Oryctolagus cuniculus: one gene and its partner. The protein of the gene in region 2 interacts with the protein of the main gene of each other region in a pairwise test. Links are inferred from orthologs where the notes say so. Each region holds a gene or a part of one and is shown on either strand. Other genes may lie near its edges.

Region 1 (4,301 bases), on a different chromosome or scaffold from region 2:
CCTTCAGAGCTACTGGAGATTAGGACCTGAAGGTATGTTTTCAGGGACACAATTCAACCTTCTACATTTCCTATTGGTGGAAGCTGCCAGAACTACAGCTTAGCATGGTGATGTCATCTTGCTTGTGAAAAGGTCTTGGATGAAATGAACTTTTGGGTGCAGTGGGAGGCAATATTAGAAAGGGAAGGCCATGATCAAAAGATAACAGGTACTTTCCCGAGAAATCAGTCTGCAAGCTGGATGTAGGAGAGCCTCTACGAGGGCAGGTTGCAAGGTCAGTGAAAGGCGTTGTCTCAGCAGCCCAAAGGCTAGGAGGCTGGCACAGAACCGGACCGTTGACTCCTTCCGTTCAGAAATGGCCGAGATCCTGCAGCCAAGCACGCAGCACAGTGCCTGCGACACTGCAGGGAGCTCAGAATACGTGTAGAGTAGCTGCATGGACAAGGAAAGCTCGCAGGTGGCAATGGAGAAGAGGAAGGACACCTTAGGACCTCTGACGGTGGCCAGTTGGCTGTCCCTTTTAGAATCAGGCCACAGCTTGGCACCTGCTGGAGCCATACCGGCTCTCTCTCAGGCGCACCCCTCCCGTGACCCAGAGTCATGCTAGCTGGCCTCCCCAAGCCATTTGCCCACCTCAGCGTGTGCCCCCCGCGGCGCATTACGCATCCAGCTAGTGCGCCCTCCGCACAGCACCCTACTCACAGTAGGCCCGCAATACAATTCGCAGTAAAGGAACTCATGAACGCATAGATTTCCACACTCCAGCAAGATGGGAGAATCGCCAAGCTCTGGACTTGAGACTTCTAAAATGCCCGGCACACCGTGCGCGCCCCAGAAGCACTTGTTGAGCCAAACCGAGCCCCTGCGGTTGTCCCAGCTCCGGCCCGGCGGCGAGGTCTGCATTTGGCTAGCCGGACAGGCTCCGCCACCACTCATTCTTATGTAAGCGTTAAGGAGCCTCCCGACCCTCTGGCCCTCTCTGCCCGGTCAGGAGCGTCCGCACACGGGCGAGGGCGCGGCTGACACACACTCCCCCTCGGTCTCGGTTCGCCACAAAGCTCCTGAAACACCGCAGCCCGCTCCGGAGCGGCGGCCAGGGCGTCGTTCCCGCCGAGGGAGGCCTGGCCGCCCGTGCCCGGCCCCTCACGGCGCCTTCGGGCTCTGGCGCGCGGTGCCCGTGGCCCGCCGAAGGTGTCCGCAGGGTCCCCGCAGGCGCCCGCACCGCGGAAACCGCACGTCCAGCGCTCGGCACCCGGCGGCGCCTGAGCCCGCGCCCCGCCCGCCTGCGGTCCCCACCCGCCCCCCTAGCACCGCGGGGCGCGAAGATGGCGGCGCGGCGGCCGCGAGCGGCTGAGGCGCTGTGAGCCGGGCTGGGCCGGCGAGGCTAGAGCGGCGTCTGGGCCGGCGGCGCGGCCTCCTCCCCGCCCGCCGCCGCTGCCGCCGCCGCCGCCGCCGCCGCGCCCCGCCCCGCGCGCCCGCCCCTCCCCGGGCCGCGGCCGAGCCCCGCGTCGCGCTCCCCCGGGATGGCCCGCGCGCCTCGGCGCTGCCCAGCGGAGCTCTCGGCCGAGCGGCGGTGGCCGCGCTCCGGGCGCGCGCGGCGGCGGCGGCGGCGGCGGCGCGGCGCGTGAGGGCCGCCAGGGCCGAGCGGGCGCCGCCAACATGTCGGATACCAAGGTAAAAGTTGCCGTCCGCGTCCGGCCCATGAACCGACGAGGTAAGGAGCTTTCTGCTGGTTGTGATTTCTGCTCGGGCTGGGGGCCGGGGCAACTTTGGGAACTGCTCGGGCCGGCGGAGCCGGGGAGCCGGGGTTCCGGGCGGAGGCGGCGGTCGCCCGCCCGCCCTGGCCGCGGAGCCGGGGAGCCCGGGCGCCGTCTCCCGGCCCCGCCGCCTCCAGGACGGAGCCCCCGCGCGGCGCGGCGCGGCGGGCTGGGCGCGGATGCTCGAGTTTGCAGCGTCGGTTTCCCCTGTGCTTTCAGAACTGGAGCTGAACACCAAGTGCGTGGTGGAGATGGAAGGGAATCAGACAGTCCTGCACCCTCCTCCTGCCAACACCAAACAGGGAGAAAGGTACAGCGCGCACGGAGCGGGCGGGAGGGGGACCCAGGCTCTCCGGGTCCCGCAACTTTGAGCCGGGAAAACGGGAGTGCTCTTTCCCTATTGTTAGGGGGACGGCTTCAAGTTTGTCTCACGCTCCTCTTTGACGCGGCTGCAAGTCCAAGTTCTTCTCTTTCCTCTGTGCACCCCACCCCCTTTCCCGGTCCCCTCCCATCTGCAGCGGTGTCAGGCCAGGCCCCCAGGCCGCAGCCAGCGCTTGTCAGAGAGTGCGGGGGCCGGATGGGACCTGGAGACCTGCATTTTACAGTCAGGGAAACTGAGGCCCGGAGCCGGCAATGACCAGCCCAAGCCTATTGTACCTAGGAACCAGTGCACTACCGCATAGGTTTGCTTCCTTTAGCAGAGTTGTGTAGGGACGTTGCGTGGAAAATAGGTGGAAAAAGAAAGCCAAGCGTTCTTGGGTGATGCGAGCTCAGGCTGGGCCATTACCAGATCTGTTTTTTTGTTGTTGTTGTTCGTGGTGGTGCCGGGTGAAGATAATGCCTGAATGTAACGCGCAGATTCTGATTTTCAGGGAAACAAAAGTAGTGACCTGAACTGTATAGACACTGGGGATGTTTAAAAGGGAGTTGTATTTACTAGATGGCAACATATTTGCATTTGAAAAGTGGTAACTGTTGGATCTTTATAAATTCTGCTCTGTTGCATGCAACTGTATGGGAAAATGCCCTAAAATGATTTGAATATTTGGCATTTTTCTGGTGCGACCGTGAGAAGGAATGGGTTGGGATTCATTCAGTGCAGCAAGGCAGTAGCTTGTAAAAAATATGAAAGAAAAAGCATGAGATTTTACAAAATTCTTTCTCGAATGAGTTTGTTTCTGAAAGTCACCTGTTGATTGATGAGTTACACTTAGTGAATTTTGCTGTTCAGAGAATTTTTTTTTTCACTAGAGACTATGAAGTAGGGTTTGTTATTTTATTGCTAAAGATTGCAAGTGCCTCTGTTCTGTAATCATGCCTTCTGTCGCAATTGTGCTAAGTTGGAGGAAGAAAATAATGAGGAGGTAATATTGGAAATTCTTTGTTTTTTGTATTGGGTCTAGCAAGTTTTAATCCCATTTGCAAACATTCTGCTACTTCTAACAGATTCTTATGGTGATATTAAATAGCTTAATTATACTTAAAATGTTGCATTCAATACATTTTAGTAATTGTGTATCCTTGGACATTGGTTATGTTTAAAGCAATACAATTTCATGTTGGTAGCAAACTCATTGATTAAGTTACAATATTTACCAATTAAATTTGATGTCCACACTACCAAAGTTTGTTCCCCTCTCCCCTAGACTGGATATAGTTACATTGTTTCAGAAGAAAGTTCCATTGGGTGGGATTCTTCAAACCACTCTGGGAAACAGGTAGATGATTTTAATTCCTTTTATGTGGCTGCTGCTTCTGTTTTCCCTGCTGGTTTGGCACCTGCTCCTTGTCACTCTTAACCCTCAGGAGTGCCATTGTCAGTTACTACTTAATGAAATTAAATGTGGTCATTTGTGTAGAGGAATAGATTTTGTGGAATTTGGATGGAATGTATAGCTGTAGACAGTTGATTCCAAATGCTAAGTATAATTAGTTGATCATTTATTTGTAGTTTGTCACATTAATTACTACTCAGAATATGTAAAGACAAGACTTACAGGGTGATTTTGGTATTCATCCATTGCCTTGCTTACTGGGTAGTTTTAAGAACAGTGTTGAAGTATGCGTGTTCTCTTATTCTGTCCTGGCAGATCTGATTCTTCAAGTGGTGGATGGACCCTTTTTGTGGGGTTCACTCAGTGTACCGGCAGGTCATTCAGTTTACAGGGATCTCTACACAGCACTGCTACTTGTTGATTAAGGTCCCCAAATGCATTTTGATTTCCATTATGCAGTTTGGTTTCCTATTTCTCTACAGAGTTTTTCCTTAAAGCAACAGATCAGTTAAAAATAGAAACAGCTTGTCCCTTGGGCTTTGGGTTGATTATTTGCAAAAGTGTTTCATGCTATATTTACAGTTCTTCCTATCATTTGTTTCTGGGTACAGCCAGGGTGGGGTGAGGGTAAGCCAGGAGAATACTGAGGATGTTCTTATTTTTCAAACCAAAAAGTCCAAGATTTGACATGTAAGAAGTCTTTAAGTAAATGCATATTGGCAAGCCTGTGTCAAAATGACAATTACTATATTTCTATGCAAGTTCATGA
Region 2 (3,804 bases):
GGCTGGCCCAGAATCGCAGAAACTGGTCAGAGCAAGGACAGTACCTAGGAGGAGCCCTCGTGTGGCAGGCCCTCTGCTGCTTGGCTGCCCTTGTCACTCGAGTCTCAAGGGCCTCCTCCTCTGGGAAGCCTGTCTCCGGGCACTTCCCCGTGTTCATGCCCCAGTCACGATCCTCTGGGTCAGCACCCTGCACCCAGATGGCCCAGAGGGTAGGCTCTGCCACTGTCCTGACATCCATGGCCTGGAGCCTGGTGGGAGCCAGTGTTTGAGGAGTGTTTGCAGGGCAAACAGCAGAAATTACAGCCCTGCCCACAAAGGGCAGCACTGGGTCACTCTGAACATGCAGATGCCTTGCAGGCCTTGCTCTCCCTTCAATGACTCCCCGCCCCGCAATGTCAAAGGGCTTTGGTCTCTCCTGACAGCTTCCCAAAGTGCACCTGGCGCCAACAACCCACATACAGCAGTCACAGCCCAAGTCCTGTCAACTGTGGCTCCTGTACCTGCCCTGAGGGCCTCAATTCTGCCCTCCTCCATCTGTAGCCTCTCTCCCCTGCCCACAGCAGCCACAGTCAGCTCATAAAATGTGAATGTGACCACGGTGCCTGGAAACCCCTCCCAGCACTGCAATGGCTGCCACAGGCTTGGTCCCTCCATCTCCCCTGAGACCCACTGTCTCCTCTGCTGGGAAAATGCCTCCCACCCCTCCTTACTTGGCTAATCCTGAAAAACCAGTGGGGGTGGGGGTCCCCACTGTCAGTTCCCAGCTGCAGGCTACAACCTTGGCTGCCCCGCCCCGCTCCCCCAGCCCTGCCCCCACCAGGCCTCCTTTTTCCTGCGGCAGACTTGCTCCTGCCTCAGCCACAAGTGCCTGATTCTGTTGGCTGTGGGTGGGAACCTGGAAGCTCCTAGAGTCTAGGACAGGTTCTGTTTGTTGGATGAACCAATGAACTCTCACCGCACAGCCTCGGTGTTGACCTAAATGCCCGAGGAACTCAATGTTCTTGGTCACACAGAGCTGCACCCCTCTTGCCTGGGGCGAGTGGAGAATGAGTTTACCCGAGGAGAGGGACAAACGGCTGACACCTGCGGCTCCTGAGGGTGAGCGCACCCACGTGCTAGAACCTCTGACTGCGGTGGTCAGAAAGGTTCTTCCGTTGTTGCGAGGGCTCCTCTTCCAGGCAGCCCGCACTCATCACTCCTGACTCACAACCCCCCGCCTCACTCCCAGTGCTCACTGCTGCTTCACCCACATGGCTCTCTACTAAGAAAAACTGGAGATGACATCTCTTCAAACCAACACACAAGCTGATGGCCAGCACCCACAGGGCTGCAGGAGTCTCTGCTGTTCTGTCACTCATCCTGGGTTTTTAACAGTCCTGGGTCAGCCTCATGACTTGGTAGCACCAATCCCGTGTAGAAAGACAGACGCACACCTTCTAAATCAGGGTGGGGGACATGTTTTCTGCCAAGGGCCATCTGGATACCTGCAGCATCACTTGGGGCCACAGACGATGATCAACCTAAAAATTAGTCTGCTGTAGATTTATTGAATTTCGAGTCCCACCTGTGGTTGCCTAGGCAAAGCCAGACCAAGTGGTTTCCCAGGCCTCATACAGCCCGCGGGCCGTACACTCCCCACCCCTGCTCAACATCAGTGCTCTCAGATCCTGCTGCCCGACAACGCTGGCATTCGGGTGAGTGCATGGGTGGCTCTCAAACACTTCGGGCACAGACACACAGGGTTCGGAGCAGACACTGTGCCACCACCCTGCACACAGTTCCAGGCTGTCACCAGCAGTTACCCCAGGCAAAAAGCACTCCGGTTTCTCAACCACGAGACGGAGTAGCAGCACTTAAAGCTGCTGGGAGCAGTCAGTGGGACGGAGCGTAGGGCTGGCACAGCAGCCGGCGGCTAGCATTCGAGCTGCTGTCTGCCGTGGCTTCTCAGGACCCAGGTCCCGGCAGGGCGCCACTGCAGGTGGCACCAGCACATCATGGCTGAGGTCAGGGCAGAGCAGGCCAGGTGCTGGCTCACGGCTCTCCAGTCGTGACGTATCTCCTTGTGTCCCTGAAGCTACGCAGTGTTCTTCCCGGGGAGGGGCCCTCAGAAGAGAGAGGGAATCTGGCCAAACCCGCCTCTCTGGCAGATTCCCTGATGCTCATGTGATCCACACTGATGCCAGGCCCACAGGGTCTCGCACTCCAAACTCAACTGCCCTTCCTCAGCCCCGGAACACCCTGTGTCCCATCTCAGCACCTTTTCTCACCTACCGCTCAAACCAGAAAACCAGAAGCCCCCACGCACCGGCCCCCCACCCCCGTCCTGCTGCTCCTCTCTCCCAGGAGTTCAAGCCCAGCCTCCACTCCACCCCCAGAGACCCTCCTTGGTCCCGGCCACCAGCAGCACCCATCCATTCCTCCACGGTCTCCTGCCAGCTCCACACTCGCCCAGAGCCACAGCCAGGTCCAAGTACAAACTGCACTGTTCCAGTGCTCTGCTTACAGTCTCCCAGCAACGCAGGGTCAAGAGCAAATGCGCTAGCCTCGCCCCGGCCACTGTCCCGGCATTCACCTCGCTAACCTGCCGTCTGGCCAGGACTCCCAGGTGTGGTGCTGCCTCTGTAGTACAGTGGGCATGTGTGGGGCATTTTCAGGAGGTGTGATGGGAGGGGCACCAGGTTGTGGGACAGAGAGTCAGGGAGGCTGGGTTTTGTCATGGGCACAATGGCCCTCACAACAAGCACTGTCCTGCACTCTTGGAGCACCTTCCGTGAGGTTTCAAGGCGCCCTGAAATCTTGCAGAGCGTAAGTCCTGGGCAGCCTGCTCTTGGTCTTGCTCAGAACTTCACTGACAGGTCAGTCACCACGTCAAACTACTGGCACTGCGCTCTGCACCGCACCCAGCTGCTGCAGCCCCAGTGCTAACACAGAAATCCGAGCTGGGTTCTCTTCCTTTCATGCTGTCTTGATGGAGAACAGCACAGCATTACTCTGGATTCTGTGTGTGAATGGACCATGCAGCCAGGATGGGGGCTGATGGCACTGGCAACTCGGTCCCTCTCTCAAGGCGGGCTCTCCCTCACCTCCGGGTCTCCCCGCTAAGCTGTGCCCTGGGCCTGGAGCCCTGCCTCCCCAACACCTGACTTAGTTCCTCTTCCCCTGGACTCCCATCACCCACTTCCCGCGTGAGCACTGGTCTGAGCCAAATCCACACACAGATCGCTTAGGGAGCCCCGTGTCTGTGTCCAGAACGTCTCTGTGCTCCCAGGATGAGGAGCTGAGGTTCTTACTGCTTTGGGGGCCACGTAGGATCCTGAGAGGCTGCCCACGCCACTGGTCAGGTCAAAGAGATCACTCAGGCCACTGCCAATGGGAGCTCCGAGACTGGCTGGTGCTGCTGCGGTGGGGGGTGCTGCAAAGTTGGTGCCCCCAATCTGGAAAGGAGGGGTGAAGGGTCAGAGGCAGATACCAGAGGAGTGGCATCAAAGTCCCAGGAGAAGCAGAGCCACTCGGCTCTTGAGAGAACAGTGGGAGTGGGGCTGGGGACAGGACAGCCCTGACATCAACTCCGAGTGGCAAAGAAACAAGATAGGGTAAGGGAGGCGGAGGAGACAGGCTGAGCACCCCATCCCTTGCAAGCCTGGAGCCTTGAGGGTGATCTCTGTGGAAGGGCTGGGGATGCTCCCCGCTAACAGCTCAAGGGTCAAAGGAGGAAACTGAGGGATGTGTGACACACCACTGGGTGGCACTGTGCTGGGCAGATGGGGCTCTGACTCCAGGAGGTCAGAGCAGGGCTGCAGGGAC

The links.
Region 1: the proteins of AP1B1 (region 2) and KIF13A interact in binary tests that used the Homo sapiens proteins (3 or more experiments, as listed by UniProt). The link is inferred for Oryctolagus cuniculus from reciprocal best matches to the Homo sapiens genes AP1B1 and KIF13A.

The regions. Positions count from the first base shown.
Region 1 is NC_091436.1:145,194,874-145,199,174, reverse strand, and holds the start of KIF13A (kinesin-like protein KIF13A), read left to right. Parts: upstream 1-1,482; 5' UTR 1,483-1,659; coding exon 1,660-1,714; intron 1,715-1,976; coding exon 1,977-2,067; intron 2,068-4,301. UniProt on the Homo sapiens protein: Plus end-directed microtubule-dependent motor protein involved in intracellular transport and regulating various processes such as mannose-6-phosphate receptor (M6PR) transport to the plasma membrane, endosomal sorting during melanosome biogenesis and cytokinesis.
Region 2 is NC_091452.1:22,751,809-22,755,612, forward strand, and holds part of AP1B1 (AP-1 complex subunit beta-1), read right to left. Parts: intron 3,435-3,804; coding exon 3,291-3,434; intron 1-3,290. UniProt on the Homo sapiens protein: Subunit of clathrin-associated adaptor protein complex 1 that plays a role in protein sorting in the late-Golgi/trans-Golgi network (TGN) and/or endosomes.